4 linked regions of the Stegostoma tigrinum genome follow. The main gene of each other region encodes a partner of the protein of the gene in region 4 in a complex. Links are inferred from orthologs where the notes say so. Each region holds a gene or a part of one and is shown on either strand. Other genes may lie near its edges. The genes, in order: b9d2, mks1, tmem231 and ahi1.

Region 1 (7,737 bases), on a different chromosome or scaffold from region 4:
TTCCCTACCACACCACAGATGACACTTCCAAAATTATTTCATTGGCTGTAAAGCATATTGGGATGTCCAGAGATCAAGGAAGATGCTCTATAATTGCATGTTCTTAGTTTATAATGTACTCCTCTCATCCCTGCTAGCATTCTTGTAATCTGTTTCACACCGGAAGCCTTGATGTCCTTTAAAGTATTTTCGGATCAGATCATGATGCGAAAAGGGTTGGCAGAAGTTTTGAAAATAGTTTGGACACGGAGGAGAAGCAGGAAGAGGGTTACAGGTGAGGGCAGAGGGAACAGGGAGAATGGGGTTGGGTAGACGGACGGGTTAAATAGAGGGATGTAGGAGAATCACAGAATCCCAACAGTGCAGAAAGAAGTCGTTCAGCCTGCATCGACTCTCCAAACAACATAGCACCCAGATGCAGCCCTTCTCCCATAACCCTGCATTAACAACAGCTAATCGCTGAGCCTACACATCCTGGGACACTATGGCCAATCCAGCTAATCTGCACGTTTGGACCGTGGGAGGAAATTGGAACACTGAGTAAAAACACACACAGACACGGAGTGGGCGGGTATGTAAACTCCAGACAGTCACCTGAAGGTGGGAACTGAACCCGCGTCCGTGGAACTATAAGGCAGCAGAACCAACCACCCCAAAAGACAGGGAGGAAGAATGGGGGAGGTGGAGAGGGGATGTTGGGATGTGAGACGAGGAGTGGGGGCGGTGAGGAATAAAAAGTGGAAGGGGGAACATTGGGGTGTGAGAGGAGGAGCGGGGACGGTGAAGGATAAAGGGTGGCGGGGGAATGTTGGGGTGTGAAAGGAGGAGCGGGGGTGGTGAACAATAAAAGGTGGAGGGGGAATGTTGGGGTGTGAGAGGAGGAGCGAGGGCAGTGAAGGATAAAGGGTGGAGCAGGAATGTTTGGGTGTGAGAGGAGCAGCGGGGGCGGTGAAGGATAAAGGGTGGAGCGGGATGTTTGGGTGTGAGAGGAGCAGCGGGGGCGGTGAAGGATAAAGGATGGAGCGGGAATGTTGGGGTGTGAGAGGAGCAGCGGGGGTGGTGAAGGATAAAAGGTGAAGAGTGAACGTTGTGGTGAGAGAGGAGGAGCGAGGGTGCTGAAGGATAAAGGGTGGAGCAGGAATGTTGGGGTGACAGAGGAGGAGCAGGGCGGTGAAGGATCAAGGCTGGAGTGGGAATGTTGGGGTGTGAGAGGAGGAGCGGGGGCGGTGAAGGATAAAGAGTTGAGCAGGAATGTTGGGTGTGAGAGGAGGTGTGGGGGCAGTGAAGGATAAAGAGTTGAGCAGGAATGTTGGGGTGCGAGAGGAGGAGTGGGGGTGGTGGATGGGGAATGTAGGGCTGTGAGAGGAGGAACGGGGATGGTGAAGGATAAAAGGTGGAGCGGGAATGTTGCGGTGTGAGAGAAGGAGTGGGGGCGGTGAAAGATAAAAGGTGGAAAGGGGATTGTTGGGGAGTGAGAGGAGGAGCGGGTCAGTGAAGGATAAAGGGTGCTGGAATGTTTGGAGTGAAAGGAGGAATGGGGCCGGTGAAAGATAAAGGGTGGAGCGGGAATGCTGGGGTGTGAGAGGAGGTGTGGGGGCGCTGAAGGATAAAAGGTGGAAAGGGGAATGTTGGGGAGTGAGAGGAGCAGCGGGGGCGGTGAAGGATAAAAGGTGAAGAGTGAACGTTGTGGTGAGAGAGGAGGAGCAGGGGTGCTGAAGGATAAAGGGTGGAGCAGGAATGTTGGGGTGTGAGAGGAGGAGTGGGGGTGCTGAAGGATACAGGGTGGAGCAGGAATGTTGGGGTGTGAGAGGAGGAGTGGGGGTGCTGAAGGATAAAGGGTGGAGCAGGAATGTTGGAGTGCGAGAGGAGGAGTCCGGGTGGTGAAGGATAAAGAGTTGAGCAGGAATGTTGGGGTGCGAGAGGAGGAGTGGGGGTGGTGGATGGGGAATGTAGGGCTGTGAGAGGAGGAGCGGGGATGGTGAAGGATAAAAGGTGGAGTGGGAATGTTGCTGTGTGAGAGAAGGAGCGGGGGTGGTGAAAGATAAAAGGTGGAAAGGGGAATGTTGGGGAGTAAGAGGAGGAGCGGGTCGGTGAAGGATAAAGGGTGCTGGAATGTTTGGAGTGAAAGGAGGAATGGGGCCGGTGAAAGATAAAGGGTGGAACGGGAATGCTGGGGTGTGAGAGTAGGTGTGGGGGCGCTGAAGGATAAAAGGTGGAAAGGGGAATGTTGGGGAGTGAGAGGAGGAGCGGGGACAGTGAAGGATAAAGGGTGGAGCGGGAATGTTTGGGTGTGAGAGGAGGTGTGGGGGCGCTGAAGGATAAAGAGTGGAGCGGGAATGTTGGGCTGTGAGAGGAGGAACGGGGACGGTGAAGGATATAAGGTGGAGTGGGAATGTTGGCGTGAGAGAGGAGGAGCGGGGGCAGTGGATGGGGAATGTTGGGGTGTGAGAGGAGGAGCAGGGGCGGTGGAGGGGGAATGTTGGGGTGTGAGAGGAGGAGCGGGGGCGGTGGAGGGGGAATGTTGGGGTGTGAGAGGAGGAGCAGGGGTGGTGAAGGATAAAGGCTGGAGCGGGAATGTTTGAGTGTGAGAGGAGGAGTGGGGGCAGTGAAGGATAAAGAGTTGAGCAGGAATGTCGGGATGCGAGAGGAGGAGTGGGGGTGGTGGATGGGGAATGTAGGGCTGTGAGAGGAGGAGCGGGGATGGTGAAGGATAAAAGGTGGAGCGGGAATGTTGGGGTGTGAGAGAAGGAGCGCGGGCGCTGAAGGATAAAGAGTGGAGCGGGAATGTTGGGGTGTGAGAGGAGGAGCAGAGGCAGTGAAGCACAGAGGATGAAGGGGGATTGTTGGGGTGTGAGAGGAGGAGCGGGGGCCGTGAAGGATAAAGGGTGGAGTGGGAATGTTAGGGTGACAGAGGAGGAGCGGAGGCGGTGAAGGTTAAAAGGCGGAGGGGGTATGTTGGGGTGTGAGAGGAGGAGCAGGGGCGCTGAAGGATAAAGGCTGGAGCGGGAATGTTGGGGTGTGAGAGGAGGAGTGGGGGTGGTGAAGGATAAAGGGTGGAGCGGGAATGTTGGGGTGTGAGAGGAGGAGCGGGGGCGGTGAAGGATAAAGGCTGGAGCGGGAATGTTTGAGTGTGAGAGGAGGAGTGGGGGCGGTGAAGGATAAAGAGTGGAGGGGGAATGTTTGAGTGTGAGAGGAGGAGTGGGGGCGGTGAAGGATAAAGAGTGGAGGGGGAATGTTGGGGTCTGAGAGGAGAGGGGGTGGTGAAGGATTAAAGGTGGAGGAGGAATGTTGGGGTGTGACAGGAGGAGCGGGGGCAGTGAAGGACAAAAGGTGGAACGGGAATGTTGGGCTGTGAGAGGATGAGTGGGGGCGGTGGAGGGGGAATGTTGGGGTTTTTGAGGAGGAGAGGGGGCATGTTGGGGGTGAGAGGAGTGGGGGCGGTGGAGGGTGAGTGTTGGGAGTGAGAGGAGGTGTGGCGGCGGTGGATGGGAAGTGTTGGGGGGTGTGAGGAGGTTTGGGGGCGGTGGAGGGGGAATGTTGGGGGGTGAGAGGAGAGGGGGCGGTGGAGGCGGAGTGTTGGGGGGTGAGAGTAGGAGAGGGGGTGGTCGTGGGGGAATGAGAGGAGGTGTGCGGGCAGTGGATGGGGAGTATTGGGGTTTGAGAGGAGGTGTGGGGCAGTGGAGCGGAAATGCTGGGGGGTTAGAGGAGGAGTGGGGGTGGTGGAGGGGGAGTATTGGGGTTTGAGAGGAAGTGTGGGGCAGTGGAATGGGACTGTTGGGAGGTGAGAGGAGGTGTGGGGGCGGTGGAGGGGAAATGCCGGAGGGTGAGCGGGGGCGGTGGAGGGGTTATGTTGGGGAGTGAGAGGAGGTGTGGGGGCGGTGGATGGGGAGTGTTGGGATGAGAGAGGACAGGGGTGATTGAGGGGGAGTGTTGGGGGTGAGAGGATAGGTCAGTGCAGGGGGGATGTTGGGGGGTGATAGGAGGAGAGGGGGCGTTGGAGGGGAAATGTTTGGGGGTGAGAGGAGAGGGGACGGTGGAGGGGGAGTGTTGGGGGTGAGAGGATAGGTCGGTGGAGGGGGAGTGTTGGGGGGTGAGAGGGGGCATTGGAGGGGGAATGTTGGGGGTGAGAGGAGGGGTCGGTGGAGGGGGAGTATTGGGGGGTGAGGAGAGGGGGTGGTGGAGGGGGAATGTTGGGGGGTGGCGAGAGGTGTGGGGGCGGTGGAGGGGGAATGTTGGGGGGTGAGAGGAGGTTTGGGGGCGGTGGAGGGGGTACGTTGGGAGGTGTGGGGGCGGTGGAGGGTGAATGTTGGGGGGTGAGAGGAGGTTTGGGGGCGGTGGAGGGGGTACGTTGGGAGGTGTGGGGGCGGTGGAGGGTGAATGTTGGGGGGTGAGAGGAGGTTTGGGGGCGGTGGAGGGGGTACGTTGGGAGGTGTGGGGGCGGTGGAGGGTGAATGTTGGGGGGTGAGAGGAGGTTTGGGGGCGGTGGAGGGGGTACGTTGGGGGGTGAGAGGAGGTTTGGGGGCGGTGGAGGGGGTACGTTGGGGGGTGAGAGGAGGTTTGGGGGCGGTGGAGGGGGTACGTTGGGGGGTGAGAGGAGGTTTGGGGGCGGTGGAGGGGGAATGTTGAAAAGCTCTGGAATGGGGGTGGGTTTTCAGCCGATGCTTGACCTCGCCCCGCCCCATACATATCCAATTGGCTGAATGCCGTTGCGTTCCAGCCAATAGGCGAGCACAATACTTGGTTGCCAAGAGCTGAGGCATCGATGGCGGTAGCGGAGAAATAGTTAGCGAATAAGAAGACTGGGAGAGGAGGAGAGAGCGAAAGAGAGAGATAGATCGAGACTACGGGCAAGAGATAAAGAATTAAGGAAGACGAAGGGAACGGGGACATTTCACGGATGTCACGCGAAACGCAGTGCCCCTCTTCTTGATGCTGATTGGTTGATCCGTCGAGTGGCTACGTTCCGATTGGTGGGTCAGCATGTCAATCATGGTTAGGACCGGGCCTACATCTGGCAGGAGTCTGTTTAAAATAACCAGAATAACTAAATTAACAAGAACAGCTAATATAAAACATCCAGCAAGATCACTGGATTCAAATGTTAACTGTTTCTCTGCCCACCGATTCTTCGAGACCTGCTGAGTTTCTTTTCTTCACTCACTACTCTCCATCAGAAAACGATATGGGCAACAGTTTGGGGTTAATCGCAGAGTAAATCGGCCTTTACTTATTAAACTGAAGCCTCAACACTGTGTCAATCAAACATTCCCAGGTCAGGGACAGCATTGAAACAATGGATTGTATTGATTACAAAAGTAGAATTTGCTTGTCAAGCTCAGCAGATCTGGCTGCATCTGTGGAGAGAAGCCAGAGTTAACGTTTCGAGTTGAGTGGCCCATCCTAAGAACTGATTGCATTGATTATTTCATGTAGTTCTTGGGGCTGTAAGGATCAAAGGGTATGAGGAGAAAGCAGGAACACGGGACTGAGATGGATCATCGGCCAGGATCATATTGAATGATGGAGCAAGTTTGAAAGGCCATATGGCCTACTCCTCTCTTGTTATGTTTTTGTTGACCTTATTTGTGCTGAAGCACTTGTAAACAAAAATCAGTTTGCTGTATGGCATTGCCTCTACTCCCGGCATTTCAAGGAATCAAAAGAAACATAAGGAAAATTTTTTTTTCATGCTGAGTGTCGGGAATGCACTACGGTTTCGTGGAGGCAAACTCACTTAAGGCTTTGGAATTGGATAATTATTTGAAAAGCTTTGTATGCCTATGTGAGAATGGGACATGCTAAGTTGCTGTTGGAAAGAGATGGCACTGACACAAATGACCTCCTATGTCAACCATATTCAAAATACTTTATAAAGCATATTTGTAGTTTGAGGAACTGAGAGTTCCTGAGCTTTGCCTGCTCTGAAAACCTTGGAGTAGGAATGAAAGAATTGAAAGGAATGAAGGAATTTGAGTTAACCCTCAACAATACCTTTTAGAGTTTGCAATTTTAAAAATCATTTTTGACAATTTTTATCTGTGGGTATGTTTCCCTGGTTCGTTGGGTGCTTGACCTGAAATCTGTTTAGCCAGAAGAATGGAAGTAATGTTTGATACCAGGGAGTGTGATTGCTCTCTGTTTGGCTGAGGGTGCAGTTTGTACATAGCCTAATATTCTTTTTTTGCAGGAAGATGGCTGAGCTGCATATTATCGGACAGATTGTTGGAGCAAGTGGTTTCCCGCATAACAGCCTGTTCTGTAAATGGGGGCTGCAGACAGGTGAGACTCTTGCTGATGTGTGTGTTGGGAGAGGAATGGAGGATGTTGAGAAACATGAGTATCATGTGCCACATTTAATTTCTTCTACGTTTATCTGCCAAGGCCAGAATTAGTTTCCCATCCCCAATTGCCCTTGACTGAGGGGCTTGCTCGGACCATTTTGCAAGGCTGTTAAGAGTTAAATATGTTGTTGTCGGTCTGGAAACACATGTAGGCCAGATGGGTAAGGATAACAGATTTTCTTCCCCAAAAAATGATAGTTTCATAATCACCATCATGGGTTATTTAGATTTACTGTCCAAATTTATTAATGGAATTTAAATTCCACCAGCTGCTGTGATGGGATCGAAACCACGTCCCCAAAGTGTGTATGGGGATACTTTGGATCGCAAGTTACAACATTACTGTTGTTAGCACCTCCCTGCTAAACTGCATTTCCTGGTAGTACAGCAGGGGTGCTGGCATCTGCTCTGCTTGATTCCTGTTAGAGACGTGGACTTAAAATGGTTTATAGTTCAGACCAAGTAAGGATTCTGTTCAATAAGGGACATTATAGAGAATCACTGGGCTTGTATGACCATGCATAATAGTAGTCATGGTCACTGTTTTTGACACTAGCTTTATATTTCCAGATTTATTAGCTCTAGTCTGTTTAAATTTTCCACAAGCAGATTTTTTTTTTAAATTTCCAATCAACACATCTCAGAAACATATTTTATCTTCATTAAATTGTCTTTCATAGCCTTGTGATGTCCATGTGTAAATTAGAAAAATGTCTTTGAGAAAATAATGTTCTGTATTAGGTTATAGGAGTACTTTTGAGAGATGTGGTAAGCTTGAGATTGTTGACTTGCTCACCAAGCCAACTTGAGCTGACTTCTTTTTGTTCAGACGTTTTGTCACCATGCTAGGTGACATCATCAGTGGAGTCACCGATGAAGCGATGTTATTCTACTCCACTTGGAATTTAAACTGTCTGGTCCGTTGCTCATCGTGACAAAAAGTATGAACAAAAACAAGTCAGCTCAGTGAGCAAGTCAACAACCTCATCCACAACCCAAGCTACAGATATTTGCCAAAACTTTAAATATGGTGAGAGATAGTAAGAACTGCCATTGCTGGAGTCTGAGATAACACAGTGTGGAGCTGGAGGAACCCAGCAGGCCAGGCAGCATCAGGGGAGCAGGAGAACTGACGTTTTGGATTGGAATCCTTCTTCAGATTTGAAGAAGGATCCCAACCCAAAATGTCAGCTGTCCTGCTGTTCTGATGCTGCCTGGCCTGCTGTGTTCCTCCAGCTCCACACTGTGTTATCTTTAAATATGGTAAGCTTGCTTGAGTGGAACCATCTCAGTTTTTCCTTGTCATGTCAGGTGCTTGCTAAACTAATTCATCATGATCAACTGGAAAGATTAGTCTACAATTCTGTTACTGTTGTATCATTTGGCCACCATGATA
Region 2 (6,930 bases), on a different chromosome or scaffold from region 4:
GTAGGGAGGGGATAGGTCAGTCCAGGGAAGACGGACAGGTCAAGGAGGTGGGATGAGGTTAGTAGGCAGCTGGGGGTGCGGCTTGGTGTGGGAGGAAGGGATGGGTGAGAGGAAGAACCGGTTAGGGAGGCAGAGACAGGTTGGACTGGTTTTGGGATGCAGTGGGTGGGGGGGAAGAGCTGGGCTGGTTGTGTGGTGCAGTGGGGGGAGGGGACGAACTGGGCTGGTTTAGGGATGCAGTAGGGGAAGGGGAGATTTTGAAACTGGTGAAGTCCACATTGATACCATATGGCTGCAGGGTTCCCAGGCAGAATATGAGTTGCTGTTCCTGCAACCTTCGGGTGGCATCATTGTGGCAGTGCAGGAGGCCCATGATGGACATGTCATCTAGAGAATGGGAGGGGGAGTGGAAATGGTTTGCGACTGGGAGGTGCAGTTGTTTGTTGCGAACTGAGCGGAGGTGTTCTGCAAAGCGGTCCCCAAGCCTCCGCTTGGTTTCCCCAATGTAGAATAAGCCGCACCGGGTACAGTGGATGCAGTATACCACATTGGCAGATGTGCAGGTGAACCTCTGCTTAATGTGGAATGTCATCTTGGGGCCTGGGATGGGGGTGAGGGAGGAGGTGTGGGGACAAGTGTAGCATTTCCTGCGGTTGCAGGGGAAGGTGCCGGGTGTGGTGGGGTTGGAGGGCAGTGTGGAGCGAACAAGGGAGTCACAAGGATCCTCCAACACTTCCGCCATTTACAATCCGACCCCACCACCCAAGACATTTTTCCATCCCCTCCCCTGTCTGCTTTCCAGAGAGACCACTCTCTCCGTGACTCCCTTGTTCGCTCCACACTGCCCTCCAACCCCACCACACCCGGCACCTTCCCCTGCAACCGCAGGAAATGCTACACTTGTCCCCACACCTCCTCCCTCACCCCCATCCCAGGCCCCAAGATGACATTCCACATTAAGCAGAGAGTCACCTGTACATCTGCCAATGTGGTATACTGAATCCACTGTACCCGGTGCGGCTTCCTCTACATTGGGGAAACCAAGCGGAGGCTTGGGGACCGCTTTGCAGAACACCTCCGCTCAGTTCGCAACAAACAACTGCACCTCCCAGTCGCAAACCATTTCCACTCCCCCTCCCATTCTCTAGATGACATGTCCATCATGGGCCTCCTGCACTGCCACAATGATGCCACCCGAAGGTTGCAGGAACAGCAACTCATATTCCACCTGGGAACCCTGCAGCCATATGGTATCAATGTGGACTTCACCAGTTTCAAAATCTCCCCTTCCCCTACTGCATCCCTAAACCAGCCCAGTTCATCCCCTCCCCCCACTGCACCACACAACCAGCCCAGCTCTTCCCCCCCACCCACTGCATCCCAAAACCAGTCCAACCTGTCTCTGCCTCCCTAACCAGTTCTTCCTCTCACCCATCCCTTCCTCCCACCCCAAGCCGCACCCCCATCTACCTACTCACCTCATCCCACCTCCTTGACCTGTCCGTCTTCCCTGGACTGACCTATCCCCTCCCTACCTATACTCTCTCCACCTATCTTCTTTACTCTCCATCTTCGGTCCGCCTCCCCCTCTCTCCCTATTTATTCCAGTTCCCTCCCCCCATCCCCTCTCTGATGAAGGGTCTAGGCCCGAAACGTCAGCTTTTGTGCTCCTGAGATGCTGCTTGGCCTGCTGTGTTCATCCAGCCTCACATTTTGTTATCTTTAAAGGACACCAGCTGTGTTTCTGGATTAACAGTCTAGTGATAATACCATTTTTAGGACGAATAACAGAAGTTGCTGGAAAAGCTCAGCAGGTCTGGCAGCATTTGTAAAGAAAGCAAAATCAGAGTTAACGAATGCCCCTTCCTCCTTTTAGGACATCGCCTTCCCATACTGAAACAGCAAAACATTTTCTATTCTTTTATCCTATATATGCCACAGCTGAATGCTCCAACCCACATTAATATGACCTACCACCTCACTCTACACAGTCCTCAGACATTAAACACAATCATTCCCCGTCCCTACATTAATGTCATTTACAACAAAATAATTAATTATTCTCACAATGGGCCCTGACCCTGCGTTTGTCTCACTCCTACTCCTGCCCCCAGGATATGCTATTCTCATTCCACTCCACTCCAAGGGGGAAATAATAAAAAACCCTTCATCCCGCCCCGCCCATACCGGATTCGGAGATTTTTCACCGGGTCGAGGGTCCGGTAAACCGCCTCCACCCGCTCACTGCCGCACTCCGCCATAGCCGCGGTTTCCTTGGTAACGGAGCAGGCCTCAGGCCTCCTGCAGCTCGTGTCGGAGCGGATCCCCGCGTCAGCTCCAGCTGCGGGCTGTGCCCCAGCCCGGCTCAGGCAGCAGCGGTCGTGGCTCTCACGTCTCCCGGTTATCAACTGTACAAACGCTGTAAGTCCCGATAATTCAAGCTGACATTTCCATCACTGTCCCTCTGCAGATGATTATCTGAAAAAGGGTCCAGACCCGAAACGTCAGCTTTCCTGCTCCTCTGATGTCGCTTGACCTGCTCCGTTCATCCAGCTCTACGCCTTGTTACCTCTGCAGACCCTTCTCCTCGTCGACCACCAACTCAAACTGCCGTAACTTGCACAGTCTGTCTCCCCAGAATCGTTCACTCTTTTTGGGTTTGGCCCAATCACATAAGATGCCCTTCTACAAGGGCACCAGCAATTAGCGTTCACATTACAGAAAAGGAAATTTAGCAAACTAAAGGAGAATATTTTCTCTTCAGTGGGTCCAGTGTTCCAACAGTACCCAGGGCAAATTCAACCATACCCATGGCTGTTGGGTGCTATTTGGTAGCAATCATTGCTTGTATAGAATCACACTTGTACTTCATAGTATTTACAGCCCAATCATTTTAAGTCTTTATCTCGATCAAATGCATCCCCCCCCCCTTACTTCATTTCAACTCATCAGTTTAACATCAGTTAACCTGTCTCCCATATGTCAACATACATAATTGGAGGAGTAGGCCACCTGGACTCTTGAACCTGCTCTGTCATTTACTAAGATCATGTGTGATTGCAGTTTAACTCCACACGATTGCTTAAAATGAGCCATTGCACTTTATTAGCTTTATTTATTTCTCCAAAGATACTGCCAAACCTGCTGAGTATGTCCTGAATGTTGTTTTAACATTATCACATTGATTAAAGAATTTTCCCCAAAATTCCTTACTAAATTTATTAGTTTGTCAGCCTCCCAACTCACAAGGCGGTTGCTTGCACTTTGGTGGTCAACTCTGTTAAACATCACTTACTGTGATGCAGAAGTATTACTCCAGCACAGTAGGCTCGTCCATAATCGCTCAAGCCAAACAGCAACACACCAGGGAATTCCTGGAAGCCTGGTATTCTAACCAAACTCCATCAACAAACACATTAGTTTGTACACAGGGTCTAATTCACTGAAAAACACAGCTGGAAGTGGTACCAAACACCCCAACAAACTGAGACATATGAATAACAAGCCAGACAGAAAACCAACACTTCACCAGAGGTGCACTGACGATATTATCTAGCAGGGTGATGATACATTTGCAACCAGCCCACCAGTTCAGCAAGCATGTCTACAACTTCATCCACAACCCAAGATACAGATCTTGTCGAAAAATTTAAACTGTAGTCTCTGCCTTTAAAAACTTGGTTTTCCCTGGGCCCACTTCTAGGCTAGCTGATCTTCCCATTTCTTCTCGCCTCTTCTGCTTTCCCTCTGAATAATCATCCTCAGCACTCAGTGGCTGTCTCCTAATTGCCTACATCAATGTTTGCTGTTTTCATTTGTAAGTATGTTGTTGCAGAGGTATGGACATCCAGCAGATGTTCATACAGTGACTTGGAGATAGTAAAGACTGCAGATGCTGGAAGGGTTTTAACCGGAAACATTGACTTCCCTGCTCCTCAGATGCTGTGCTTTTCGAGCTCCATATTTATTGAGATTAGACTCAATGTCCAGTTTACCACATAAGTCATCATCTATCCAACATCATTACCAAGTCACTACAGATTTTTGGTAATGTGTATATCTATCACAAACCAGGATCTCAGAGTCAGTGATTTTTGTCTTGCCAAGAGATGCTGAGGATACAATTGGGACAGCAGTTCCTCAGCTTTTAACCCTGCCTACCATAAGTAGTCCTGATCTCACTACTATACAGGACTTCATAGAGGTCACAAGCTTAGAAGATTTGCAGTTTGGTGTTGTCAAATTACTCTAGTTTTACGCTATATTTATGAATGGTTATGTTGTATTTATGGCCCTGTATTTTGGATTATTCCACAAGTGAAAATATCTTCTCCACCCCATTAAGCTCCTTTAAAATCTTAGGCCTCAATCCAATCACTTCTGAATCCAGAGAAAAGCTTGTTTAGTCTTCCATGGTAGTTGTAACCTTTCAGTTCTAATGCAAAATAAATCCTACAAGAATACATCTCCAAAAGTTACTTTACACTCCTTTTGCAATAATGGAAACCAGATATTTGCCCAGTATTCCAATATGTGGTCTAAATTTCAATACAAATCTAACACTAATAAGTTAATTAAATACAAAAATATAAGCTCTGAACCTGAATGTTTTATTTGCATTTTTAGAGCTTTGTTAACCAGCACAGTTAATTTTCATGATTTGTGAATTTATACCACATTAACTTATTTTGCAAGATAACTTCCTTATTTTTCCTACCAAACCACAGCACCTTACACCCATCATTTGTCACTTACATGCCCAATCTGCACGTTACCATTTGTTATATTTTATCAGTATAAACAAAACCTCTAATTTGGTGGTAAACATTTATATAAATAATAGATAATAATAGTTGCAAACAGCATTCTGTGGAACACTAGGTTGTCAGTCTGCTCCTTCAGTTCCTAACCTCAATTTAGTCAGGAATCCACTTTGGTCTTTTGAAATCTCAGGTACATTGCACCAAACTGCATTAACCTTGCCTATTGTGTCTATGTGGGGTGGCATATCACATTACAAATCGCAAGTTTAAATTTACCAGATGTATTATAATCACCTAGAATATAAGAAGTCAAAGTATAATAATGCACTTTTTAATGCATTGCAACACTTTATTTTCACAAGCATTTCAAAAAGCAATCTAAATAGTCATTTAGGTTTTACAATATGAAAGGCAACACTTCCGAGGTAAAAAAAGTATTTTTAAACATCATGGTTTGCATCTTTAGCAAATTTCTATCACTGAGGCACGCCAGTGATTTGTTTCTGTCTCCATATTCATGAACAGGAGACAGATTTTGAAGTCAATAACACAGCAAAGGCAATAGGAGAGAATCAGCACTCATTTTATAGTGCTTCACTAAATATCAGAAAATAACTTTCAGTAAGTGCTTTATCCTAAACAGTGGAGTTTGCAAATGGCCATAATACACAAATACTTTAAAAATATACACATGTGCTTATACCAATTGCCAAGGCTGGTGCTTACCATTTGAAAATTTTAAAAGAAAATATAAACATCTAACTGAAAAACTATTGTTTAGAATTTGGGATATCCAATAGAATCAAATTGGTCATTTTGTAAAACTGAATGCTCTATAAGTGGTGTTTCTAAAGTCTGCCACTATGAATAGAGTGCAGTCTAAGCACCATATTCCACCTGACAATGTATATATACCCTTCAAATCATTTCTTTGGAGCGTCATACTGCAAAAGCATGACAAATTATTAACATTCTTTCTCCATGGCTGGGCAAATTTACTTGAGGCAAAAAAAAGCCGGAAATAGCACTTGCAATAAAGTTCAAAGTTTTTCTTAAATTATGAAAGGAATTTAATTACATTTTTGAATCATTTAAAACAGAGTTCAAGTGATTCACAAATTAATTATTAATATTGGCTGCAATGCAAAAAGATGTATCATACACTGAGTGCATGGACTTTCCTTAAGCAATGCCTATTGCCTCTCTGAACTAATACTAATGAAGGCTTTTTATACAGACAACATTTAGAATCCCTCATCAACATTTGTGTTGTCTGAGATTGAAACTCAACTACTTTTCCAAACAAATCAGAACTATCAGTATTTAACTTAACGATACATGTTCCAGTACAACACAAAAATGAATTGTCCATCATATCATAGGAAAATTAATTTACTATAATTCAAACCTTATTTTGAAAAAAAAGTGAGCCTGTTTGAATGCTCCAGAACATTCTGGCTGGTTTCCATTCCATTGCACAAATGCCATAAATACAAAGCAAACTTTACACATGTCCTGGACTAAAAGCAAACAGTAACAAAAATGACAGTTACCTTCAAATAGAGCAAGCTAAGTGGAATAGCAAAGAAAAATATTCAATGTACAAATTGATCAGTCTATTTAGCTCTTTGTATTCAAAAATATAACTCTTATGCATTTTTCTTCAGAAATTACAATCTTTTAATAGGTTTCACATTGTCCTGGCTTCACTTCCATGAAAAGCAAAATCTGTATCAACAAGATAGGTGTCTCCATATTGTAATTAGGAAATCTCTGTTCTTCAGAAACTCTGAAAGAGAACCCAGTGGTTAAAAGATCCACTATATAAAAGGAGCAAGAAGCTAGGTACATAATCTCCACTGGGCTGGGGAATTGGTGGGATGGGGTCTGTGGATGAGATACGGTAAGAGGCCATACTGTAAACATACTTGCCTTTTTCATATAAAGGACATGTCTTTAACACTTTCAAGATCCCCCCCCCAAAAATGAAGCTAAAACATACAAATTATTCACTGGGGCATGTGCTAAAAGTTATAATGTTAGGATTAAGAAGTAGTGAAGTGGAATACAGATGCAATACACAAGGACAAAATACTGAATTAGCCAAAACAACACTATGCAATATGTAACTGAAATTTGGGGTACTTACAACTTCAATTGCTGGATG
Region 3 (7,208 bases), on a different chromosome or scaffold from region 4:
TTCCAGTGGAATCCTGAAAACATCTCCCAAATAGTATTGTGGGTGTGCCTATCAAAAGAACTGCAGCAGTAACAAAAGCAGCTCATCACTACTTTCTCAAGGGCAACTACGGATAGGTAATGAATGCCGCCCTAGCTGGTGGCTTTCACATTACATTAATGAATAGACACCGAATGTTAAATTCTGTCCTATTGGAGATGGTCATTGCTTGCCACTTGTACTGTGAGATTGTTACTTACCACCTATTAGTTCTAGTCTGCAATGCTGCATATGGGCACAAATTATGAATAATTCTGGACATTTGTTCACTGATGATTGCACGCTCACTTTTAACCCTGTGATGGACAGAAGGTCACTGATGACACAGTGAAGGTGTTTGAGATTAGGACACTAGTCCCGGGAATGAGATGTTTGGCCTCTAACAATTACAACCTTTTCATGTATGACTCCATTCAGTGAAGAGCTTGCTCTCCAGTTCCCACTGTACCCAGTTTTATTCAGGCTCCTTGATGCCTTACTGAGTTGAATGTTGCCTTCATGTGAAAGGCAGTCACTCTCAATTCACTTTAAGTCCAGTTCTTTGTTCATATCTGAATTAAGATTGTAATGACATCAGGAGCTGAGTGGCCTTGGCAGAATCCAAAGTGAACATCAGTGAGCAGATCATTGCTGAACAGGTGCTACCTGACAGCAACAATTAATTACAGCAGCTTTGTTCTTCCCAATATTAGTTGGAGGAAATTTCTCTTCAACATGTACTTTATATCAACCAAGCAGTCTGGGAATTTTTAGACAGCATGAAGGGGTCATGACAGATAGTAGTGGGCTAGAACTGGGTTCAGCAAGCAAACATGCAGAATCTCACACCCTTTTCAAATGTGTCACCAAGTGGCAGCACATGGATAAAAGAAATGAAAAAAGGAGATAGTAAGAACTGCTGATGCTGGAGTCAGAGCAGAAATGCTGGAGTCAGAGCAGAAAAGCTGATGTTTCAGGTCGGGAGCTTTCTTCAGAAATCTGAAGAAGGGCCTTGACGCAAAACGTCAACTTTCCTACTCCTCTGATGCTGGCTGGCCTGCTATGTTCCTCCAGGTCCACACTGTGTTATGAATATTAGGAGACTGGGAACAGGAAGTCATGCAAGTGATTTGCTGGCTATAATTAGATAGCTATAATTGTAACCAGGCAAGTGCAATCCCACAACTGGATGGCATGGAGTGATGTTACTGGGGAATGGCTTGGTCAACCAGACAAAAGATGCAGACCGGTAAAGAAGGACAAGAAGAGATATTTTGCCTATCCATATCCATCTCAATTTCACTAAACATAGCCTATCACTCCCACATTCAGACATTCTGAATGTCAATTTTGAAGACAACAATCTCAATTTCAGGAGATCATTTATTTTACTTTTTAGGGTATCTAGTGGCATAGTGGTCATGGCAGTGGACCAGAGACTCAAGCTAATGCTCTCTTGACCTCATTTTAAATCCTACCATTGGCACTTGGTGGCGTTTAAGTTGAATTCATGAATCTAGAATTAAAAGCTGGTCTTGGGGTGACCATGAAACTATCATTGACTTTGTAAAAGTCAATCTAGTTCACGAATGTTCTTCAAGAAAAGAAATCTGGCATCCTTACCTAGTTTGGTCTACATGCGAATCCCTGATGTGTTTCACTCATAATTGCCCACTGAAAAAGGCTAGCAAGTCACCCAGTTCAAAGACAATAAATGCTGCCCTTGCTAGTAATGTACAGATCCAATGATAGAATTTTACAAAACTGTAAAATGGTTTCCAATGCAGAAGCAAAATGCGTTCAAATTCAGACAACTATTTACAAGCCTCTACCCATTCATGAAAAAATACCAAACAGAACATATAAAAGGGAGCGAGAGTAGCTCAATCATTTATGGGGAATCTTCCATTCCTATTCCACTTTCCTGCAGTTTCCCCATATGTATTAATAACCAAAATCTATTGCCATTTTAACACCACCACATTCCCAAACCGATGTCTCAGGCTTGCTCCAGCAAAGCTCAGAGCAAGCTCGAAGAACAGCATCTTATTTTCTACTTTATCACATGAACTGCCACCATATACAATCCACTTTCAGCCACTAACAGTCTCCATTAGCAGCAATTGATTCTCCCAGGCTGACCTTTACCCATACTTCTGTCTGCCTATCTATTTTTCCCTCAATTTCCATCTCCATCTCCATCTATCATTCACTCCTCACTCCCCACTCCCCACCAAACAACCAAACGTTAAAACCTTTGACTGCAATGAAATTTCACTTCAAATCAGTCCTTCAAATATTCAAACCTCTATTCTGAGGTGGTGATTTTGAACTCCAAACTTGCCAGCAAGGGGAAATCATCTTCCCTGCACTGACCGCATCATATCTCTTTAGGATTTTGTATACTTTAGTGAGATCTCATTCATTTAAATTCTAGTTAACACAGACACAACCTATAAATTATTCTTCTAGGAAAACCCCTCATCCCGGGAATCAGTCTAATTACCCCCTAAAGCAAATATTTACTTTCTTTGCTAAAAAGATCAAAATTACACAAAATTCTCCAGTAATGGTCCCACCAAAGGTTCCATAAATCGTACTATTTCCCTCACAAACATAATACGTCATACAATTAGCTTCATTTACACCAAACCGTAGAAACAACAATAAAAACCACATCACTCAGATTTCTAATTCGAACATATCTAAGAAAGTATTTAAGTAGGCCAATGGTCTGTCAGCAGACTGAATTAAATCTCTTACCATGACTCCTGAAGGCAACCAAAAGCGGCGGGATGTACGTCAGCGCCACGACTATCAATAAGAACAACGTAGCTTTGGTGAAAATGCTTGTTTTGTAACGAATTAAAGACGGGTGCGAATAAACTTCGTAGATGGCCATTGGTAGCCGAGTGTTCCTGGAGAAACCACCACTTCGATTCAAGTTTGGCGTCAGCTTCCCAGGGCAACTGTCGTCAGGCCGCGCGGTGAGAGGCGGGGCTATCGCGACTGATAGCGGTACCGCCCAATCACAGGACGACAGGGTCCGGCCTTCGCCGAGATCCATCCAATCAGAGCTGGAGGGCGATGTCGTTCCCCCCCCCCCGCTCACCCCGACCCGCAAATCTCATTCAGAACTCTGTGATAATGGGAACTGCAGATGCTGGAGAATCCTTGATAATAAAATGTGAGGCTGGATGAACACAGCAGGCCAAGCAGCATCTCAGGAGCACAAAAGCTGACGTTTCGGGCCTAGACCCTTCATCAGAGAGGGGGATGGGGGGAGGGAACTGGAATAAATAGGGAGAGAGGGGGAGGCGGACCAAAGATGGAGAAAAGAAGATAGGAGGAGAGAGTGTAGGTGGGGAGGTAGGGAGGGGATAAGTCAGTCCAGGGAAGACGGACAGGTCAAGGAGGTGGGATGAGGTTAGTAGGTAGGAGATGGAGGTGCAGCTTGGGGTGGGAGGAAGGGATGGGTGAGAGGAAGAACAGGTTAGGGAAGCAGAGATAGGTTGGACTGGTTTTGGGATGCAGTGGATGGAGGGGACGAACTGGGCTGGGATGTGTTGCAGGAAATGCGGGAGACGCGGTCAAGGGCCACTGTGGGGGGAAAGTTGCGGCCCTTGAAGAACTTGGACATCTGGGATGTGCGGGAGTGGAATGCCTCATCGTGGGAGCAGATGCGGCGGAGGTCCTTCAAGGACCGCAAATTCCCCCCCACAGTGGTCGAGAACGCCCTTGACCGCGTCTCCCGCAACACATCCGTCACACCCCGCCCCCGCCACAACCGCCCAAATTGGATCCCCCTCGTTCTCACACACCACCCCACCAACCTCCGGATACAACGCATCATCCTCCGACACTTCCGCCATCTACAATCCGACTCCACCACCCAAGACATTTTTCCATCCCCACCCCTGTCTGCTTTCCGGAGAGACACTCTCTCCGTGACTCCCTTGTTCGCTCCACACTGCCCTCCAACCCCACCACACCCGGCACCTTCCCCTGCAACCACAGGAAATGCTACGCTTGCCCCCACACCTCCTCCATCACCCCTATCCCAGGCCCCAAGATGACTTTCCATGTTAAACAGAGGTTCACCTGCACATCTGCCAATGTGGTATACTGCATCCATTGTACCCGGTGTGGCCTCCTCTACATTGGGGAAACCAAGCAGAGGCTTGGGGTCCGCTTTGCAGAACACCTCCGCTCGGTTCGCAATAAACAACTGCACTCCCAGTCGCAAACCATTTCCACTCCCCCTTCCAGTCTTTAGATGACATGTCCATCATGGGCCTCCTGCACTGCCACAATGATGCCACCCGAAGTTTGCAGGAACAGCAACTCATATTCCGCTTGGGAACCCTGCAGCCCAATGGTATCAAGTGGACTTCACCAGCTTCAAAATCTCCCCTTCCCCCACCGCATCCCAAAACCACCCCAGTTCGTCCCCTCCCCCCACCGCATCCCAAAACCAGCCCAGTTCGTCCCCTCCCCCCACTGCACCACACAACCAGCCCAGCTCGTCCCCTCCCCCCACCTCATCCCAAAACCAGTCCAACCTGTCTCTGCTTCCCTAACCTGTTCTTCCTCTCACCCATCCCTTCCTCCCACCCCAAGCCGCACCTCCATCTCCTACCTACTAACCTCATCCCACCTCCTTGACCTGTCCGTCTTCCCTGGACTGACCTATCCCCTCCCTACCTCCCCACCTATACTCTCCTCTCCACCTATCCTCTTTTCTCTCCATCTTCGGTCCGCCTCCCCCTCTCTCCCTATTTATTCCAGAACCCTCACCCCATCCCCCTCTCTGATGAAGGGTCTAGGCTCGAAACGTCAGCTTTTGTGCTCCTGAAATGCTGCTGGGCCTGCTGTGTTCATCCAGCCTCACATTTTATCATTCAGAACTCTGCTTGATCGTTCTCAGAATCGTAGGTTCGTCCATGCGCTGAGGGAGGCAATTAAGACCGTAATGTCTGTGCTCGCTCTCTGAAAAAACAAATCACTCGAGTGCTAATCCCCACTTGTTCCATGTACAGTTCCTCCTTTTTCAGATAATAAGATTAGATCACATGAAATACAGGGAGAACTAGCCATTTGGATACAGGAACAAAAACAAAGTTGCTGGAAAATCTCAACAGGTCTGGCAGCATCTGTGGAGGAGAAACCAGAGTTAACGTTTCAGGGTCCGGTGACTGTTCTTCAGAACCATTTGGATACAAAGATAATTGGAAGTTGACAAAGTGTGGAGCTGGATGAACACAGCAGGCCAAGCAGCATCTTAGGAGACAGAACTGGTTCAAAGGTATACTACAGAGGGTGGTGGCAAAGTGCTGCTTTTCAGAGTTGGAGTCCCAGTGATGTGCCACAAGGATTAGTGCTGGGTCCATTGCTTTTCATCATTTATATAAATGATTTGGGTGTGAAGATAGTTGGTAGGGTTAGTAAGTTTGCAGATGACACCAAAATTGGAGGTGTAGAGGAAAGTGAATAAGGTTACCTCAGATTACAGCAGGATCTTGATCAGATGGGCCAATGGCCTGAGGAGTGGCAGATGGAATTTAATTTAGATAAAGGTAAGGTGCTGCATTTTGGAAAGGCAAATCAGGGCAGGACTTATATGCTTAATGTAGCCAGTGTTTTCCCCGGGATAGTTGAATCTAAAACTGGAGGGCTTAAGTTTAAGGTGAGAGGGAAAGGATTTAAAAGGGACAACTTTTTTCTCACAGAGGGTGGTGCATATATGGAAATGAGCTGCCAGAGGTAATGGTGGAGGCTGGTACAATTACAACATTTAGAGGGATATAGGCCAAATGCAGGCAAATGGGACCAGATTAATTTAGGATATCTGATCAGCATGGATGAGTTGGACCAAAGGGTCAGTTTCCAAACTGCAGCTCTATGACTCTGTACTTTTTCATTATAACAATCTAAATTGTGCTTGAATGCATCAACTGAACCAGCTCTTTACCATTGTGGCAGCTCACACAACTTTACCTCCAGTTACATGTAAAAGATTGTCTTCAAGTCACCACAAGTTGTCATTTCATCAATCACCAACAATCACAATTGTTCACTTACGGAATTCCATGTCGCTGTTTATTGGTCCTGTGAATTCTTGCATAGCTAATAAATCCAATCCTAGAACTTCCTGTTCTACCACACATTTGGTAGATGTTTTTAGGTGATGGAATTGGTCCTTGGCTTTGAGGTCACTGGCACTTCTTTCTTTAGTTAGTTTCCAGACTTCCTCCCGCTGATGGGTGTTCTCAAAGAATTGTGCCCATTCAAATAGGACCTTCCTCCAAGTCAGTTGCTTCTAAACAAAGGTCCTTCCATACATTGACATATATGATGTATTTCTTGGGGTAAGTCTTCAGGGAGCCTTTGAAATGCTTCCTTTGTCCTCTTCTTGCTCAAGTGCCTTCCTCAAACTGGGCAAAGATGATTTGCTCTGGCAGTCAAAGCTCAGGCATCTTAAGCGAGTGGCAGTCCAAAACAGATGGTTTTTGGATCATCGTGGTCTTGATGCTGGTGTTCTTGCTTCATGGATGCTGATGTTAGTTCACTTGTCCTCCCAGCTGATCAGAGAATCTATCTCAAACAGCATTGATAGTACTTCTCAAGGACCTTGAGTTGGTGTTTATACATTGTTGAAGTTTTGGAGCCAAGTAGAACAGTCAGAAGGATGACTGCATTATACAGAAGGGTTTTAGTATCAGCGCAGATGTCACGGTCATCCATGTCATTGATGTCAGCCATAGATGACAGCTATCTTCCCAGGTGGGGGAAATCTTCCACATTTGGGAGGATTTCTCTGTTGTTCTTAATGGATGGATGGACAAGAACTTGACTTGCGACAGGTGATAAAAGATTTGAGTTATCTTTAGGGTGAGGCTGAAACCAATTCTTCAGTAAGCTTCCGTGAAGGCATTAAGCAAGGATTGAAGATTGTCTTCTGAGAGACTGGAGATGACATTGTCAACCAGTTGAGTTGAAAGTTTTTCATCCACTTATAAACAATTTCCACACCACTGGGAACTTTACTTTTGACAAGATAAAGAATATCACCAGGGATATCAAAGGGACTGTCTTTAGCTAATTACTTGAAATATGTTCTCTCTGGTTCTCAAACTTCTTTTATAGTGCAATTTGATGGCGCATGGGGTTTAGGCTCAAGACAGGTTGGT
Region 4 (7,637 bases):
ACAAGGATCTGTATTGGGTTCTCAATTATTCATGTTATTTATTAATGACTTGGATAATGGAATAGAAAGTCACACATCCAAATTTGCTGACGACACAGTTAAAGGTGGCATTGCAGACAGTATTGATGTTAGCATAAAATTACAAAGGAATATTGATAAACTAAGTGAATGGGCCAAACTGTGGTATGGAGTTCATTATAAGCAAATGTAAGATTATTCATTTTGGACTGAAAAAGTATGGATCAGGGTACGTTCTGGATGGTAAGAAGTTAAGTATAGTTAAAGAGACTTGACGGGTTCAGATGCATTGATTTTTATAATGTCACAAACTGGTGCAAAAATTAATCAAGAAAGCTAAAGGAATGCTGGCCTTTATTGTCTTGAGGGGTACAGTAGAAGGATGTAGAAGTTATGTTGCAGTTATACAAACTCTGCTTAGGCCTCAGTTGGAGAGGTGTGAGTGGACCTGGGCATTACACTTTATGAAGGATATGTTGGCCTTGGAGGTAGTACAATGTAGGTTTACAAGAATGATACCTGGACGTCAGGAGTTTATTTACCAGGAATGATTATACAATTTATACCTGTCTTCTCCAGAATTTAGATGGTTAAGGGTTGATCTGATTGAAGTTTTCAAGCTATTAAACAGGAAAATACAGAGTAGATGTGCTGGATCGCGGCATGTGCCTAAGTGATTCTTTCAGATTCAGGTTAAGAGAAGGCTCAACAACAGCAATTTGCTTAAATACAAATGTTTATTAAATAATAAATTATTATAATAGTAGTAGTAAATGATTATAGCAGTGATAATAAATGGAAGCGAAGAAAAAAAGCAAAAAGTCTCAAGTTCCTCTGCCCTCTGGAGACCCCTCGATCAATGTCTGGTCTACAGGCTTAGGTTCATTCCTGGCACCATTTACGAAGCCGGTCTTATGTTAAGTCCATCAGCCATGGAACAAAACTTTCACACTCTCATACAGTATTACAAAACAATCAGGACAGAAAACAACAGATACAACAGACAAAACAGCTGGCTCATTCAGAAAACAAGTTTTTTTTAATTGTGCTGTCTGTGGCACTCATCCAAGGTCATGCAGCTTGTTGAATATCATCAACAATTTTAGTCTTTCAGCATATCCTATATAATCCACCCCAATGATATATGACAGCATATGTTAGAATTACAGATGCAGACACACATCAGCGACAGCCACACAAGAATGTACAATAAACACCTACACTAGAAGATTAAAGCTACAATGAAAATAACTAGCATCGATACAAAGAATAGAACGATGGGGTGTATCGTCAAATTGATCGCAGTTCCCTTTGGGGACCTACCTTAAAATATATACATGTAGAAACAATACACCAAGGGTTGTGTGCACGCGTACACGCGTACACACACACACACGATGTGCTGTCCAGTGGAAACAAGGGTTATGGGGATAAGGATACTGATTGTGGATGATCAGCCATGATCATAATGAATGGTGGTGCTGGCTCGAAGGGCCGAATGGCTACTCCAGCACCTATTGTCTATTGTCTAAAAGAACAACCAAGTGGTGCCACCTGGTTGAGGTGACCAGAATATCCTCTACATTCTTAGTTAGTTATTCTATTTACATAATTTGCTCTACAGTTCAGTATATTCCAGATTCAGGTTCTTCATTTGTGTTTTTTTTTCAATTTTCTATCCACAGACTCCTGCTTAACGTGTGTCTTCGCTTGTTGTTTTTTCCACATACACTAATTGCCCTAACATATTTCAATTTCCCCTACTGGTTTAGTCACAAGAACATCCCAACCAGACTCATCCACCTACCATTTCCCGGTGACTCTACATTTCCCCATGTCTAATCCACCTAATTTACACACCCCTGAACACTACAGGCAATTTAGCATGGCCAATCCACCTGACCTGCACGTCTTTGGACTGTGGGAGGAAACCCACACAGCTACAGGGAGAATGTCTGTGTGGAGTTGGCACAGTCACCTGAAGGTTGAGTCGAAAGTTAAAAGTTAAAAAGTTAAATTTTTACCAAACTTTACGAATCAAAATTTTGACTCAACATTGTGCAAATTTTGGCTTTACACAACCACTAATGGTTTCTTAAAAGGTCATTACATTAACCGTATATGCTCCACACAAATAAAGGCACCCAATGCACTTTCAAATCACCAGAGACTCCCAAAATGCTGACTCAACGTCAAATTATCTCCGGCTGTAAAGCTCCAGGAATCAAAAAGACACAAATTATGTGAGGCGACATTCAGCAACCAACGAAGGTGCATTCAAACTAGACCACGAAGAGTTAACACTTCTACAATGTTCAGTGCACAGTGCCCCAGTTATAACTGTCTCCCACACATTTGGGGGCCCTAAAAGGGAGCTGCACCGGTGCCAGACTGAATTGCTTCTAATAATGCAGTTCATGCCTCTTCTATATTCATAGTTTAGTTTTTATGGAAAATCTGGAAAAGGAGGAGCACAAGTGTTTGGTACGTAGAAATGGTAGGCAGGTTTGAAGCACATAAATTATGTGAGATGCAATCACCTTATTTCATAGCAGTAACATCAATTTGAAAAGAATCTGAAAGTTGAACTTGGACTGATTGCAAAGGACACAGATGTGTTACTTGACTGATCACATGAAGCAGCCAATCCAGATTGGAGGATTTGGGCTAATAAATATGTTAAGAGAATGGATATTTCTAAGCACATTTTGAACTGTTTCAGAATGGTATTAATGAGGTATGAGACTACTTTCCTTACTCTGTTTTTTTTTAGCACAGATATTTTGGGGGTGAAATGCTCTTCCACAGTAGCATTTAGCAATATTCATCCAGACTATGAGTTTTGCCAGATTTCACATGAGAATTGCTTGGCTTCCCCTAAGGAGAAACTGACAAACTTCACGGAAACCCAGGTTCAACAGACTAATCAGTGGCTGTTAAATAGATGCTGAAACCTTCAAAATGTATTCATCTATGTTGTACGGTCTTAAATCCATCACCTGGTTAACTGCGAAAGTTCCTGAAGAATAAGTAGCAAAGTGACCACTGCATTATTGCGATAGCAAGCATAAGCTGGCTTCTTGGTGTACAGCAGTGATTCCTCTAGGGAGGAGATGTAGACAGTCAATGCATATGATTTTTCAAATGTAAGATTTGTCAAAGCCATCATACCTGTTGGTGTCTGGTTTGAATGAGGAACTCACAGGTTCCTTCATACTTCTTTCCTTTTACCCTTACATCTGATGCAAGAGCTTCATTCTGCTGACCTGCCTGCTCTGTTCCTTCCGTTTTGTCAACTGCAGAGTGTGATTCCACCAGGACAGCAATCGGTAGGGAACCCCCTGGTTTTGCAACAAATGACAACACCTTCTGGTTTCCGATAACAAGGTGTAGAGCTGGATGAACACAGCAGGCCAAGCAGCATCAGAGGAGCAGGAAAACTGACATTTCAGGTCTACATCCTTCAGTCTCCAACCATTTTAACTCCCACTGCCAGGGTGACATGTCCATCCTGGGCCTCCTCCAGTGTCGCAATGACACCACCTGCAAACTGGAGGAGCAGTACCTCGTATTCTGCCTCGAGAGCCTACAGCCCATGGCCTAAATGTGGACTTAATCAATTTTAAAATCTCCCCAGACCTGCCTCATCCCATGACCAATGTTCCCACTCATCCCAGCCTCCATGACTTGACACAACCAGTCCATCTTCTCTCCCACATATCCATTCCTCCCACCTCACTGACCAATCCCTGCCACTGCCTGCTTACACTTACCTGTCACCATCCCCAACGCTCCTCTATTTATTTCTGAGCTCCTTTCACCCTCCCCCATTTCTGAAGAAGGGTCCTGACCCAAAAAGTTAGCTTTCCTGCTCCTCTAATGCTGCCTGGCCTGCTGTGTTCATCCAGCTCCACACTGTTGTCTCTGACTACAGCACGTGCAGTTCTTGCAGTCCTCTCAAAGGAGTCGCAGTGTAATCTATTTGGTGACAAAAGCAAAATAGAACAAGTGCTAGAAATCAGAAATTAAAGCAGAAACTTCTTAAAATACTCTAGTTCTGTGCAGCAAAAACATTCAATGGTTCCAGTGAATGTTTTATTATGAACATGCAATAAAACTTTTATTTACAAATACCATGCAGTTAAATCTACAGTCAGCAACCAACAATAAAACGATTAAAAAGCCAAATGTGGTAAACATTCATCATTCCTTACAACATCTGAAAAACTCATGCAACAAGAAACGGTGATGGAAAATAGAACAGTTCACAAACTGAAAGACACAACTAGAAAGGTTTGTTCCCATCCTCTATTGAAAGCAACATTTCCGGGTAGCAGTAAGACCAGTGAACTATTCAAGGAAAAAGTGCAGGATTTTAAAACTGTCATCAAAGACGCTTTAACAAGAATGTGGCCGCAAACTGAGACCTCCCCGAACTGGGGGGCTTTCCCAAATGAACTGACCCCTCGCTAACTCGGGCTTTACCCTAACCTGAGGTTTATTTCCCAGTTGGTTGAATGTGATTGCCTTTGGCGGCCGGTCCGGGCGCAACTTGAGCACGTGATTAGAGGAGGTGAGGCGAGATGATTGTGACGGAGCTGGTGCCGCGCCCCCTGGCAACAGTGGGAGGAGGAGTAGTGACGCTGGGAACGGACACCGCGGGCCGCTGATGCCGAACCGGTTGTAGCGTCACTTCCTACAGTCAGGTCAGTAACCGGCGATAACCCGCGTCTCCCCCATTGGTGCTTTCCGTCTCGGTGTAAGGCCGTCCTGCCGTTGCTAGGCCACGTCTCAAACAGTGGGGGTGAGTTTAATTTGGGGCCATTACGCCTCGCCTCTACCACCCCACTTCTCCGACCACTCCCGCACCATTTCACCCTCTAACCCCCATCTGCCCCCCTCTCTCCCTCCTATCTATCCCCCTTCCTCTGACACACTTGTTCTCCCTTGGATCACTGTCTGTGATCGTGTTCCCTCCCGGATCACTGCCTGGGATCTTGTTCTCCCTGGGATCATTCTCTGGCACCATGTTCTCTCCAGGATCACCGTTTGAGATTGTGTTCTCCTTGGGGTCACTCTCTAGTATCGTGTTTTCCCTGAGATTGCTATCTGGGATTGTGTTCTATCTGGGATCACTGAATTGTCCTGTTCTCCTTGAGATTGCTGTTTGCAGTCTTGTTCTGTCAGGGAACACTGGCAGGGATTGTGTTCACTCTGAGATTGTGTTCTCCCCAGGATCAATCTTTGGGATTGCGTTGTCCTTGGGATTTGTCTCTGGAATCTGTTTCTGGAATCATGTTCTCTCTGAGATTGTGTTCTTCACTGGGATCCTGTTCTCCCTGGGACCTGTTTCTGGAACGGTGCTCTCCGAGGGATCATTCTCTGAGATCTTGTTTTCCCTGAGACCACACTGTAGGATCTTGTTCTCTATGGGATCATGTTCTCTCCAGAATCGTCTGTCTGGGATCTTGTTCTCCCTGGATCACCTGTTGGATTTGTGTTCTGTCAGTGATTACTGTCTGGGATCATGGTCTTTCCAGGATCACTGTCTTCAGTCTTATTCCTAGACGTAATTCAGAAATTATTGTCTTCTGGAATTTTAAAGCAGTGGTAAAGAGATCTGTCAAAAATTAAGGAAGAACATAACTGGAGATGAACGAGACAAAGTCGACAATAAAAACTGGAACCTTCCCCAAACACCAATCAAGTAAGGGCTTCAGCGGACACATGTATAGTAACACCCAATCTTCAATCATACAAGTAGACCGAATTTGAAATCTATTTGTATGTATATTTCTCATTGTTTACGGGCACCATAGAGGGAATAAGTTCATGCTAATTTTTTTTAAAATTAGATTCCCTACGGTGTGGAAACAGGCCCTTTGGTCCAACAAGTCCACACCGCCCCTTGATATATCCCACCCAGACCCATCCCCCTATAACCCACACGCCCCTGAACACCATCGGCAATTTAGCATGGCCAATCCACCTGGCCTGCACATCTTTGGACTGTGGGAGGAAACCGGAGCACCTGGAGGAAACCCATGCAAACATAGGGAGAGCGTGCAAACTCCACACAGGCAGTTACCCGAGGTTGGAATCGAACTTGGGTCCCCTGGCACTGTGAGGCTGCAGTACTAAGCACTGAGCCACCAAGTCGAATTAGGAAAATCAGAATGGCTATTTTTATGGGATTAACTGAGAAATACCAGGGATATGTGAAAGGCAGGGCCAATACAACAAAGTAGTACAAGTATATAAAAATAGGATAAGGGCAGGAAAATAAATTAAACATCAGGGGAGTAACTTTGAGATGAAATAATTAATTTAGCAAGTAAATCAAAGTAAGTGTGTTTAAGCCATGGCTGCTTCGTTCAGTGAAGTGAAATGTGTCACCTTGGAAGTCCTGAACCCTACTACTGCCTTAGATGACCACGTGTGCAGCAAGTCTCCCAGCTGCAGAAACTCAAACTTAAGATTCAGAGCTTGAGTAATGGCTAGACATTGGTATGTTCTCAAGTGTGAGGGCTACATGGCTCACACATTTAGAGAGGTTGGCAAACTGCAGTTTACATGAATAACAGGAATGGACAACCACCAGACCGTCCAAGAGGAGAAGGCAGACAATCTCCTGGGGTACTGCCCACAAATCGGTTTTCTGTTTTGGAAACTGATGGGTGCTGGTCCTCAAGGAGATGTAGTCAGAGCCAAGCTTCTAGCACTGTATGTGGCTCAACTGTACATGAGTGGAGGAAGAAAACAGGAGTGATAATGAGAGACAATTTGTTATGTGTGGTAATAGATGGGCATTTCTATTGCTGTCAACGTGACTACAGGATGGTAAATTACCTCCTGATGCCAGGGTCAAAGATGTCACACAGCAGCTTCAGGGTATTATTCTGAGGGAGGGCGAACACCCGGAAGTTGTGGTCTGTGGTGCCAGTAACTTGGATAGGAAGGAGGATTGGCCCTTCAAACAAAATTTATGGAGCTGGGTCCTCAACTGCAGTTTTTTCTGGATTACTTTGATTACCCATATACGAGTGAATACAGAAAAAGGAGGATAATGCGTATGTGTAATTAGATAAATGGTGCAGGAAAGATGGCTTTAGATTCCCGGGACACAGGGACTTGCTGTGGAGGACATAGCAACTGTACAAGCTGGACTGATTGCAGCTGAGCAGATCTAGGACTGACTTCCTTGGGGGTGTTTTTCTGGTGCTTTTGGGAGAGCCTTAAACTAACTTGGCAGGGCTGTGAGTACCAAGGGAGCATAGTAGAAGAGAATACCAGGATTCATAGGGTACTAGTAGCACTAATACAGTGCATGCCAAATTAATCATGAATTTGGAATAAGGAAAAATGAAATGAAGTCCTAAACACGGTTAACATGAATATATCCAAGTACACAGGATAGAATACACGTGGTTTGGGTGGAAATATAATGAGGTGATAACTGAGACCTGGCTCAAGGAAGGGTAAGATAGAAAAAGAAAGAAAGGAGGGTAGAAGTATTTGTTAAGCAGGACATTGCAGTGATGGAAAAAGAGGATTTCTGAAAGGTTCAAGGACCCAGTCAATTTGGCTAGAGCTAAGGAGCTCAAGGTGTACAACTAGAT

The links.
Region 1: ahi1 (region 4) and b9d2 share a complex: the UniProt entries of both Homo sapiens proteins name them as parts of the tectonic-like complex. The link is inferred for Stegostoma tigrinum from reciprocal best matches to the Homo sapiens genes AHI1 and B9D2.
Region 2: ahi1 (region 4) and mks1 share a complex: the UniProt entries of both Homo sapiens proteins name them as parts of the tectonic-like complex. The link is inferred for Stegostoma tigrinum from reciprocal best matches to the Homo sapiens genes AHI1 and MKS1.
Region 3: ahi1 (region 4) and tmem231 share a complex: the UniProt entries of both Homo sapiens proteins name them as parts of the tectonic-like complex. The link is inferred for Stegostoma tigrinum from reciprocal best matches to the Homo sapiens genes AHI1 and TMEM231.

Annotation. Positions count from the first base shown.
Region 1 is NC_081392.1:8,436,340-8,444,076, forward strand, and holds the start of b9d2 (B9 domain-containing protein 2), read left to right. Parts: upstream 1-4,723; 5' UTR 4,724-4,970; intron 4,971-6,187; exon of another isoform or gene 6,188-6,191; coding exon 6,192-6,279; intron 6,280-7,737. UniProt on the Homo sapiens protein: Component of the tectonic-like complex, a complex localized at the transition zone of primary cilia and acting as a barrier that prevents diffusion of transmembrane proteins between the cilia and plasma membranes.
Region 2 is NC_081380.1:13,791,007-13,797,936, forward strand, and holds the start of mks1 (Meckel syndrome type 1 protein), read right to left. Parts: upstream 3,009-6,930; 5' UTR 2,262-3,008; coding exon 2,188-2,261; intron 1-2,187. UniProt on the Homo sapiens protein: Component of the tectonic-like complex, a complex localized at the transition zone of primary cilia and acting as a barrier that prevents diffusion of transmembrane proteins between the cilia and plasma membranes.
Region 3 is NC_081369.1:41,520,821-41,528,028, forward strand, and holds the start of tmem231 (transmembrane protein 231), read right to left. Parts: upstream 3,011-7,208; 5' UTR 2,921-3,010; coding exon 2,782-2,920; intron 1-2,781. UniProt on the Homo sapiens protein: Transmembrane component of the tectonic-like complex, a complex localized at the transition zone of primary cilia and acting as a barrier that prevents diffusion of transmembrane proteins between the cilia and plasma membranes.
Region 4 is NC_081357.1:43,904,900-43,912,536, reverse strand, and holds the start of ahi1 (jouberin), read left to right. Parts: upstream 1-4,621; 5' UTR 4,622-4,724; exon of another isoform or gene 4,725-4,822; intron 4,823-7,637. UniProt on the Homo sapiens protein: Involved in vesicle trafficking and required for ciliogenesis, formation of primary non-motile cilium, and recruitment of RAB8A to the basal body of primary cilium.